3 linked regions of the Rhinolophus ferrumequinum genome follow. The protein of the gene in region 3 purifies or fractionates together with the protein of the main gene of each other region. This does not show direct contact. Links are inferred from orthologs where the notes say so. Each region holds a gene or a part of one and is shown on either strand. Other genes may lie near its edges. The genes, in order: MGA, YAF2 and E2F6.

Evidence for each region.
Region 1: the proteins of E2F6 (region 3) and MGA purify together in Homo sapiens (affinity purification with mass spectrometry; 3 studies listed by BioGRID and IntAct, counting the BioPlex papers as one, with this or other methods). This does not show direct contact. The link is inferred for Rhinolophus ferrumequinum from reciprocal best matches to the Homo sapiens genes E2F6 and MGA.
Region 2: the proteins of E2F6 (region 3) and YAF2 purify together in Homo sapiens (affinity purification with mass spectrometry; 4 studies listed by BioGRID and IntAct, counting the BioPlex papers as one, with this or other methods). This does not show direct contact. The link is inferred for Rhinolophus ferrumequinum from reciprocal best matches to the Homo sapiens genes E2F6 and YAF2.

What each region holds. Positions count from the first base shown.
Region 1 is NC_046289.1:63,756,064-63,759,811, forward strand, and holds the start of MGA (MAX gene-associated protein), read right to left. Parts: upstream 2,684-3,748; 5' UTR 2,561-2,683; intron 2,345-2,560; exon of another isoform or gene 2,265-2,344; intron 2,199-2,264; exon of another isoform or gene 2,183-2,198; intron 1-2,182. UniProt on the Homo sapiens protein: Functions as a dual-specificity transcription factor, regulating the expression of both MAX-network and T-box family target genes. Functions as a repressor or an activator.
Region 2 is NC_046293.1:45,237,157-45,240,904, forward strand, and holds the start of YAF2 (YY1-associated factor 2), read right to left. Parts: upstream 3,001-3,748; 5' UTR 2,659-3,000; coding exon 2,633-2,658; intron 2,201-2,632; coding exon 2,075-2,200; intron 360-2,074; exon of another isoform or gene 1-359. UniProt on the Homo sapiens protein: Binds to MYC and inhibits MYC-mediated transactivation. Also binds to MYCN and enhances MYCN-dependent transcriptional activation. Increases calpain 2-mediated proteolysis of YY1 in vitro.
Region 3 is NC_046296.1:64,751,892-64,755,639, reverse strand, and holds the start of E2F6 (transcription factor E2F6), read right to left. Parts: upstream 2,397-3,748; 5' UTR 2,131-2,396; coding exon 2,023-2,130; intron 1-2,022. UniProt on the Homo sapiens protein: Inhibitor of E2F-dependent transcription. Binds DNA cooperatively with DP proteins through the E2 recognition site, 5'-TTTC[CG]CGC-3'. Has a preference for the 5'-TTTCCCGC-3' E2F recognition site.

The sequences.
Region 1 (3,748 bases), on a different chromosome or scaffold from region 3:
TCCAACACACCGCGCAAGATTTTTTTCCCACAATTTGTCTGGCTTTACTCATCATTGGATCCCTATACCTGAAAAACTGCCTGGCACATAGTAAGCACTCAATAAATATGTTAAATGAATACTGAATTAATAAATTTGTCTTTTAACTTTATGGTATTTTTGCCAACTAGAGGTTGTTTCGTGCAATAATTCTATCAATCTTTGCCTTTATGAATTCTGCCTTTCTGTCATGCTTAGAACAACTCATCCTATTCCAAGATTGGAAAATTGTTTACCCACTTTTTAAAGTAGCAATTTTCTAACTTCACATTTTATATTTAATTCACCTGGATTTTATTTTATTTACATTTTAAGGTACAATTCCTTTTTTTCAAACAGCCAATTGTTCCAACATCATTTGGAAATTTTTTCTTAACCTATATGAAATGCCACCTTTATAGTACTAAATAGCCTTATATATTTCTAGGTTTATTCTGTTCCACTGCTCTAGTCCAGAGTTACTACTTACTGTTTTGATTATCACAGCTTTATTTGTATGGTCACTAGTGTTAAGAGCCCTCCTCACTTTTCTCTTTCAAATTTTTTCCTATTTTACAGGTTCATTCTTCAAAATAAACTTTTGACTCATTTTGTCAAGCTTTCAAAAGGCATTCTGGCTGGAATTCTGTAAATTACTTAATCTCTCTGTTGCTATTTCCCTCATTGGTAAAACGGAGATAATAGTACTTATCTCATACGTTTGTTATGAGAACTAAATGAATTAAGACATATAAAGTAATATGCTAGAAAGATGTTAATTATTACTCTAATTGCTCAAAAGTGACAACTATCATTATAATGATTGCTCGATAAATGTTTTCCAGATTGTGCTCCCACAAAATTCAAAGGCTCTTTAAGATACATCAAAGGGTAGCATGAAACTGAAAGAGTGATATGAAAAATATATAATGTATGCCTGCTTCATTTCACTAAAGGCCTTGACCTTTGGTTAAATGAAGAGCTGGAGCTGGGAGCAGAGAACCATGAAAAATACCAAAGGCTAGTGAGAGGAAGCCTCAATTTTTTTTATTTTTTTTTATTTTTTTATAAAGATTGGCCCATCAAGAGGAGAAGCCTTATGGGGCATGAGCAAGTCTCTTCTAATTACTTGTGTTTCCCCATCTCCATAGTGACATAGTGATGACAATACTATTATCTCAATTTCTTTCCAGAAACACACAGGGACTAGACGTCCAAAAGAATAGTTTTCAAGTAAGAAAGTGGGCAGGTACAAAGTATAAATGCTATTGATAAAAATGGACAGATATGCCAGATTCTAATAACAAATTACCTTCACTAAATTCCCACATCAACGTAATGATGAGGGAGGGGATGGTTATGGGGTTTTTCTTGTGGGGAGATGCGATTGTCTCAGTTAATAATTTGTTCACTGTTCTTTTGTTATCTACATGACATTGGGATGAGGCAGAGTCATACACCATACGAAGGACCTTAAAGAAACAATCTCCCATACGAAGGACCTTAAAGAAATAATCTCTTATACAGAGCTAAAATATAAATGACAAAATGGAGGCCGAGAGAGGCAACATGACTTGCTAATTACAAAAGTAGCTGAAGGCTTAGACCCCTGGCCTCCTAATTCCCAGACCTCAGACCTCGGCTGATTTCACCACACCACACAGCTTCTCGCCGAGGTTTGCCACGCTTCGAGGTGGGAGGAGTAAAAGCAAGCAATCTGGCCGCAGCGTAAGGCGCTGGAAACCCACAGGACCGCACAGTCGACAGCACGTGACTGGCCACGCCTCTCTCTTCTCCCACCCTCCCCCTTCCCCGCGCCAGCAGCACGCGCTGCCAACCTCGTCATGTGACCTTCACGCGGCCCCAGCGCTCCCCCTGCTAAGAGACTTGTTTCCAGCAGCCATTTTGCCTTGAACTTGTCGTCCGTGTTCACAGCGGAGGTGGACGCCACTAAAACCCGTGGCCAGATTTTACAAGCCGCACACGCGCTTCGAAAGAGCGCTCTGGCCGTCAGGGCTGAGCCGAACCTCACTGAACACGTCGCACCCCGGGGCGCCGGGGAAAGCTGTGGGTGCGCCTCGGCCTGCGATTGGCTGTGGCGTCCACGTGATGCCAGCCCCCCACCCCTCTCCTTCCCCCTACCCACAAAAACACCCAAACATACTCTTAACACCTCGCGCCAAGTACACGCCACTGGGCGCGTGGGGACGAACGGGATGCGTGGCAACCAAGGCGCCTGCGCGTACCTGCCGGGCCGACCGGAGCGGACCCACGCGCCGCGCCGCTCTGCTCACGGGTCCGGGATTCCTCGCGCTGCTGGACCACCAGGCTAGTCATTGGCTGCCAGCTTTGGTCACGTGGTCAACTCAGGCCTGCCCCTAACCGCTAATCACCTGGCACCGTGCTCGAAGCGGCGCTGAAAGTCTTTCGCACGCGGAAAGGGAGGGTAGTTAGAGGACCTCCTTTTCTGCCGTTAGGGGATGGCATTCACAAAGGGGAAACGAGGAAACAGGGTCTCAAAACTAAGGAAGCTCATACCTACCAGTTTAACTTCGCGTGCCCCTCCAGGAGCCGGGAACCATCGCCCTTGGGCGCTCCCCGATGCACGCCGGGATACGTCTGGCGCCCCTCGGTGTGCTGCAGAGCATGCCGGGAAAGGCACCTCTCCCGATTTCCTGGCTCTCACCTCCCGGGCATTCCTTTCACGTCCCCTTGAAAGCCCGGTCCTTCGGCTTGGAATGAGGCGGATTGAGTAATTATGGGAGTGTAACTGGATATAACAGGCACTTTCAGTCCCCCTCCCCCCACTTGTTCCATCCGTGTGGTCTTGGGGAAACCGCTTAACCTTTCTTCATAGAGCATGCATTTAGTAAGTACCTGCTGAGTGCCTTTGTGAATATTGCAAAAAAAACCAGCAAGGGTGTTTGCCCACAAGTAAACTACCAGCCTTTCATGGTCAGTGGAAAAGAATGCTAATTTATATACAACTTACTTAAAACCCCACTTGGGAGAGGAAATAACACCTTGAATTTCTCTTGGGACAGAAGACCAGATCTTCCTTGGTAACTTACTCCTCTTGTTGAGGTAAATGGGGGTGGACGAAAGAGGAGTCATTTTAAAGGGCCCTATTACAATTTCTGGTTCAAGCTAATACTAGCTATGCATATTGGAAGTGAGAAAAACACCATCTGCTAGCGCTGAGAAAAGGTGGTCTTACATCGGAACGCGTTCATTTTGTAACCTATTCACAAACCGGCCTCCAGGTCAAAACTTAATATTCTACTCCCATGAAGCCCCCAATTAAAACAATTCATATCAAATCTCCTCCACTTTGAACTTCTGTCCTCAGTTTTGCGGATTTCAAAACTTTGGTCTTTCAGTTAAAGGGATGATCAAGCATGGGGAATTTGACTACCACCGGTCAGACTCACAACAGTGCTGATTCATAAACAAGGAATTAAATGTATCAATTTAAAATATGATTACCAAGCCAAAATATAGTTTCAGACACCCTTTTCTTGTTTCAAGATATTTGATGAGCCTAATTAATTATTACACAATTGTTTCCTGACTAGAAAGTCAAAAGAAAGGGAATTAGACTTCTGAATATTTATCCAAAGAATATGAAAACACTAATTTGAAAAGATATATACATACCTATCTATGTTCATTGCAGCGTTATTTACAATCGCCAAGACATGGAAATAACCTAAGTGTCCATCAAGGAATA
Region 2 (3,748 bases), on a different chromosome or scaffold from region 3:
GAGTGTCCCTTAGACTTCTGGTGAGTTGCCCAGAGCCTCTTCAGTTTCAATCCAAATGACAATGCTTCTCTGAGTCCTCCTCAAGTAATCCACTAAAAACTGGATCTACAAGAGCTCAGATGTACTGGTAAAAATGTCAGGGGCCCCCATGGGGGCCTCAAGCCTCTTTTATACTAGGCCCACTTCTCTGTCCTGGGCCAACTCCCCTGTGCACTATATTCCTTCTTCTTCCAGATGCCAGGTATTCGGCCTGTTTCTTCTCTTCTGAGCTGCCACCACCTACTCTATTTCTCAGGGTTCCTCTAACCCCAAGACTGGCTGTGGAGTAGGACACCAGCTTCCCCCCTTCCTTGCTGTCCCTGCAAATAAACATATAGGCTCTTCTAGTTTCAGTATTTTTCTAATGGCTACAAGAAAATAGAGGGAACAACAAAAAGCAACAATATTGTACCAGAGATTAAGATTATAATAATTGTCTCCACTTTAAAGTTCCTGCCTCCAAAAAACAAATTTTCTGAAAATTGCTTATTGAGCATTTAAAAAAGTACAAAGTACTAACATAGATATACAAATATAATCTAAACCAAATCCAACCTTATATAGACATAAAGATATCAAGATATTCTACTTTTCAAAATACTTAAATCACGGGTCCAAAATTAGTTACCACATTCATGTTAGCAAATAGGTGGTTTTTTTTTTTAGAGTATTCTATTACAGTCCCTTGAATTTTGTATATGTTTGAAAGTTCTCTTTTCAAAGGATACCATAAAAAATGCTCAATATATTTTATCCAATATAGATGGGAATTAATGTACAAAAAACGTGTTAAGATTTACAAAAAGACAGGTATGTCAAAAGCAGCTGACTTCACTAAATTCTTAAAATTTTAAAATACTGCCAACCATTTCTGTCTCTACATTTAAATTTTTTAATGGAACGCTCTAAATGGTGTTTAAAAATCTGGATATTTCATTTTTAGAAATCTAACTTCTGAATATATAAATCAATATATAAATATTGTGGATGCCTTTTTTAAAACAACAGTATTATATCCCATTGGTATACTTATACTCTTGTGATAATTTAGTTTCTAACAGACTTTGTAATATCAAAATATGTGTTATCTAAATATTAGTCTATGAATTACAGGATTATAACGAATTAATTTAAAGCCTACCTTCCTATAAAGGTGAAGGGAGTCTATAACTAAGGCTGGCAGATCAAGAATGTCACTGTCTGAATTTCCTGGATGATTTTCTTTATCCACTTAATTCACTTAAGTGGGTTTTTAAAAGACTGAGTTATTATACTGTAAGCTTACAATAAAGACTGAAAATAGGCAGAGATCATTTAATCTCATTTGTATAGTCTAATAGATTACCATTTGACCACACTAAAGATATTCAGACACCTTCAGTAAAACTACGTCCCTGTGACGGCTCACCACCAACTTTTATAAAATATTAGAGAATTGTAAAAAAACACTGAACAAAACCTTGCTGTGACCCGTTCAAACGTCTATATAAAAAAAGGAAGTTAAAATATTAGAGAATTGTAAAAAAACACTGAACAAAACCTTGATGTGACCCGTTCAAACGTCTATATAAAAAGGGAAGTTAAATCCACTGGGTATTCTATAATCAGATTGTTTTCTTTTTGAGGAACGTAATTAAATTACATCTTTTGCTCCTAAAGAGGATTTCATGGTTTTTCTTTGATTCCTACACACTAACACAACAATGCAGCCAACATTATTATATCCGGAATGGAGCGGGGGAGGATGACATTACACCCAGCGATACGAATTAAATCGCAGCAGCTAATGCCCTCCTTAAATAATTTATTCTCTCTTGGCAGCAAAAAAACGATACAGCCTCTTCAATTACTCCTCACCGCAAACCATCGCTTGGGTCGCGACCAATCTGACCCAATTCCTATCGCGGCCACCACCTCAGTCTCGCTTCCTCCCGCCGGGTCTGCAAGTGTCACGGGAGGTGGAGGCAGCCGCAGGGGCGTCCTCTGCGCTGCGACCCGGCTGGCCAGAAGCACGCGAGGCAGGCCCGGGACTCACCGGGTGGAGGTGCCCTTCCGCACATCGCACATCATGCACTTGAAGGCCTCCGCGCTGTTCCGGAAGGTGCAGACGCTACAGTCCCAGTAACCCTCATCCGAGGACGGCTTCGGCTGCCGCTTCGGCCTGCAGAACACAACCCGGACACGACGTCGCGCGGGGTCACCAGCAGGCCGCGCCCAGCGCCCGGGCCCCGCGGTCGCCCGCACCCCGACCCCCGACCCAATTCCGCGACCCCCCCCCCACCCGCGGGCCCCGGACACGCCGCGCTCCGGCTCAGAGGGGGAGGGGAATAAAGAAGGGGGAAGGCGCGAGCGCGGCCGCTATCGTCGCGGCCGCGGCCTCTGTGACACCGGGACTGCCGCTCCGGCCGCCGCCATCTCGGCTCCATTGTGGGGCGGCCGGCGGCGGCCCTTCACGCGGCAGCGCTCGCGCAGCAGCGGCGCCGCCCCCGTTCTCGCCCTGCTGCCCGGGCGGCGAACCAGGCGGCCGCCTGAAGCCCGACGCGAGGGCCCTGCCGCCTGCACAGTCCGGGCCCGAGGGCCCGGGCGCTGTTACCTGGTGGGGCTCTTCTTGTCTCCCATGGCTTGGCTACAGATGCACGCCGAGAGTCGCCGCCGCGGCCGCTCTGTTTGTCAATAAGGAGGATAATAAGCCGGGCGGAAGCGGGCGGGGGAGGAGGGAGGGGGCGGGGAAGGCCGCACCGCCAAGCTCCGGAGCCGCCGCCGGATCCCACGCAGCCTCCAGCTGTCGGGGAAACTCCTGCCTGGGCGCACGTGACCCGCGCCGGCCAACCAGCGGTCGCGCCGGAGACTTCAAACGCGGCCAGCGCGGCCCAGCACCCGCCGCGAGTTCGCGGGCGGGCGGCGTGGGGGTGCAGCTGCAGCCTCCGGCGCCTCAGCCACCGCTTCTCCGCCCGATTTTCCCCGCCTCCCCTCGGCAACCCCGGCTGACGGGGGCTGCCACGCGCTCCGGGCTCCTCTGTCTGTCCCTCCGGCTGGCGGGGGATGCTCAGTCAACCCCACGAGAAGCCTAGTCCAACGTGGGGCCGGCGTTCGGAGGTCAGCCCAGCTCCGGACGAGAGTGCCCGGCTGCGGTCTCCAGGTAGAACCGCTTTCCCAGCCTCGGCCGCCCTTGGCTATTCAGCCTCAGCCCGGATACTTGGGGGGAGTTGGGAATCAGCATTGAGCGCCATTGCTAAGTGCCTTAAAATACTGTCTAGTTTTATGCAGGAAAATGCTTTACCAAGTAAAGATTGCCTTTGATTTAGAAGAAACGAAACCGAGGCTCAAGAGAGGTTAGGTGACTTCCTCTATTACATAATCAGAAGATAACAAAGCCAGGAATCTAACCCTGGTTTTAATGCCAAATGCGCTGCCTCGGCTTCCCAGGCATCTGCAGTAGCTGCTTGGGGGGAAAAATTTTTTTTAAAGTATTCATAAGCCCTTTTTTAAAATAACGCGTTTACATGTGCCCTGAACGCTACCTTCCTTCCAGATCTCAATTATCTCAACATACTGGACGCCCTCACTTTGTACATACTAACAAGGACCATATAACTGGTCTCCGAAGCTCAAGCCGGATCACCCCAGTTTAGTCAGTGCTGGTAATGACACCATCCTGATCAAAAGTTTGCTAAAGCTCTCAGACTCCTTAGCCTGGCATTCAAGGACT
Region 3 (3,748 bases):
ATGCGTCTTCAGAGGAACGCTCCCGTAAATTTCTATGTGACTAACCTGCCCAGATGCCAGCAGAGATGATGCTGCTTCTAGTTCCTGCAACCCACAACTGCGGGGGCAGCATCAACGTTTCTATCACTGAGAGGTCACTTGCAGGTGATTTCCCTGAGCGGATACCAAGGGAGCGCCTAGTACCAGTCACATCTCAGGACTAGACTACCTAAGAGTCTTTCCCTTTCAATCCTCAAATCTGCCTCTCATTTGTTCAGGTTTATTATATAGCCTTGGAAAGGAACAGAGAAGGCAGAGGCCTCCAAAATCACTACGGATGACAGCAGCCTAAGAACCAGCAGCTTCTGATGTGCAAGTCAGCACATTCCATGCTATTTTACTACCGTTCCTAGTCCTACATCTAAAGACCAATGCTTCTAAATCTGAGATTTCAAAGAAAAAGAAGAGACTAAAAAGTGAGTTTTGGAAACTAAAATCTTAAGCACTGTCTTTAAATTAGTTAAAAATTTCTCTATATGGATGCCTCTTTGTACCGACTGCCTGTTTTGGAGAATAACATCCCTTTAAGAGCCCTCTGAAAACATACCTTTCTCCAAGGTGATTACATTCATTTAAATGTTCCTTAACTGAAAAATAATACTATATTATATACTGCTAATAATACTAAAAACATACTACCTTCAAACAATACTATTTTCTCCCTTCTCAGTTTGCAAGCCATTTACGTAATGGGAACATCAAACAGTCAGGTATATAACTAATCTTTGCACAGCAATAGACTTCTATGTATTTAATTATTAAATACTTCCAATCATTAGCCAATTAAAAAACACAGACATAGGTATTCGAATCACCATTTTATCCAAAAGAATGTGAAAATCTGAAAAATTTAGCAACTATAAGCAGTTCAGGAAAGATAAACCCAGGGGCCTGATTAAGAAGTTTCGAATCTAACCTGACAGCACTAGGGAACCACAATAGAGTCTTTAAGCCAAATGAAATGATCATAAATATGCTGTAAAAAGACCACACGGTTAGTTGCTGTGTGGAGAATATACAGAAAAGTTGGGGGCAAAACCAGAAGCAGGAAAGGTGGTTAGTAAGACATTGCAACAATCTGAAAGATAGATGGTTAAAAGTGGCAAGTACTGGGGATTAATTTTAATTGGATTAGAAAGATGGAGGGAGTCAGTTTCAAAAAAAGAAAAGGCAAGAATGATGCTTAGGATAGGTGTTTGGACAATACGGTGGGTGGGTGTGTTACCATTTATTAAGCTAGGAAACAGCAAAGTTGTTTCTTGCTTAGGTTAGAAGATAATGAATTCAATTTTGGACATGTGAGTTTCAAATCTAAGTAGAGATATCTAGTAGACAGTTGGAAAGCTCTGAGCTCGATTTATAGATTTGGGAGTTACATCATGACATACAGTATATCGCATCTAATCTAGAGCAACAATAGAGGAAATTAACCTTCAGCTGGAACGAAGCCCAATCTCCCCTTCCATTTTTTTCTGTCTTTCTGAATGGGGAACTGTGGGGTGGGAAATGTGAGATATGGACAAGCTTTTAAATAGTTACAGTTAAGTAGAATGGGAGAGGAAGCCCAAGAGAAAAACGATCGCTTGCAGAGATATACTGAGGGTGAGTGGAAGTAGGAAAACAAGATTTTCTAACGCAAAGTTGAGCAACTTTCTCCAACAGTGCTCCGTAGCCCCAAGGTAAAAGCCAAGAAGGCTGACACATTTGAGAGGACGTGTTGAAAGAAGGCAACAGAGTTTAAGCGAATGACCAGGTTGGTTCATAGTAGTACATAATGGGCAGTGCAAGACCAGAGGAGACAGGGGAGCAGCCACGGCCCAGCCCTGGGCGAGCTCATAATTCAGAAGACACTCAGTGCGGCTTCCCCAGTGAGGGAAAGGGGCGGCTAGCCTGAGACGCGAGCCGCCCGGACCCGATCCCACCCCACCCCGCCCCCGGCCAGGACCCCAGGCGCGCAGGACTCAGGCTGGCCCGGGGACTTACCAGCAGGCCCTCCACGTTGATGGGGTCTCGGCACCGGCGGCGCACCGTCTCCTCTGCCGGGTCCACGAGCAGGCTGGGCAGCTTCCGCGCCGGCCGCTGCTGACTCATGCTGCCCGGCCAGCGGCCCCTCGCCCTCGCACCCCGCGAGCTCTCCCGCCTTCTCCTGCTCGGGTCGGACGCCGCTCCCAACGCTTTGGTTCCCGGAGCCCAGACCTGGGCTTGTGGCCTGCTCGGAGGTGCACTGGGCTAGTCTGGGCCGGAGACGAACGCGCCACTGTCCAACGGCCCCGGGAAGTAGCACGCAGACTGCAGGAGCGCAGGGAGACCCACGATTCTCAAGACGCCATGCCCGCCATCTTTCCGCATGCGCAGTGCGCCGCCCCCAGTGCGCATGTCTGGCACAGCGGGAGCGCTCCCACGCAGTAATCCGGTCCTGAGCTGGAGCCCGCGAAACCCTGGGAGGCGGAATCCACGGAGAGGATGGCTAAGGAAAAGGAAGAGGTGGAGCAGGAATCCGGGGGAAGGGAACAGCACGAAAAAAAAAAACAACACAAAAAAACAAAAACAGGCGGCCAGGAAAACCGCATTTGTCCCGCGGAATTCTTGACATGATGACACTAGTAACTGAAGGATCTGAGTGGGCAGAGGTGTTAATTTATTCCTGAGCTCCCTCTGCACATCTCAGGCACTTACCCAGCGTTGATGCTTAGTAAATGTTGGAAACCAAACCGTTGCGGAATTGTTTACTTACATGCTTCTTTCTCTTTCTTTCCTTTTTCTTCCAGTTAAAAGATGCCCTTACCTACCAGAGTCCCTGAGAAGGCAAGCTCTGGACACCAGTAAAGACTGTTTTTAATAAGTAAGGTGTTCATTCATCATTTGCATTCTGCTCAATGTTCTACATACATTTTCTCATGTAAATCTTGTATTAAAACTGATGGATAGGTGTTTTTCTGCCCAATTTACAGATCAGGAAAACAAAGATGAGCAAGATTACAAAAATTACCCCAGGTCCTGGCTAGGCAGTGGTAGAAGCAAGATTTGACTCTACAGTTGATTAATTAATTTGGTATGCCGATTCTTGAGAAGGCGATTGAAAGGTGACTAGATTATCTGCAGCCAGAAATGGGGTCAAGTGAGTGAAAGTGAGGTGTGGGTCAAGACGAAGTTGGCAGGCACTCCAGGCTGAAGACAGCGTGAGCACAGCTGTGGAGGGTTAGGGCAGTGACACCCCCTCCAGACACTTACAACGCCTGTGACTTGGCAGGAAGTTGAGGGAGTTCATGCTCTATGAAGCCAAGGTCACCTGCTGAGAGTAAGGGGAGATGGTAGGATTGGAGATTTGGGAGACATAGCATGCACTCAGTTAATATTTACAAATGGGGAACAATAGAGAAGACTGACTTGCCAAACATAGTAAGACTGCAAAGTCACACTAGACATTACCTCCATCTATGGCTATCTCACATTGTCTCTAATTACATATCCTCCTATGAGAGTTGAAGGATGAAGAGGCATGTGTAAAAGATGGCAGAGGAGAAATGGTGGCAGCAAGGACTGTTCCCCATTAATTTTCTGCATGTAATAATCTGGGTCATAGAACCATAGAGCAGGAAGAGGTCCTGGGGATCAGTTAGTAAAACCCTCTCATTTCACAGGGGATGGAACCCAGAACAGAGAGGTTAAGTGACTTGCCTATGATCAAAAAGATGTTCTCTAGCAGAAC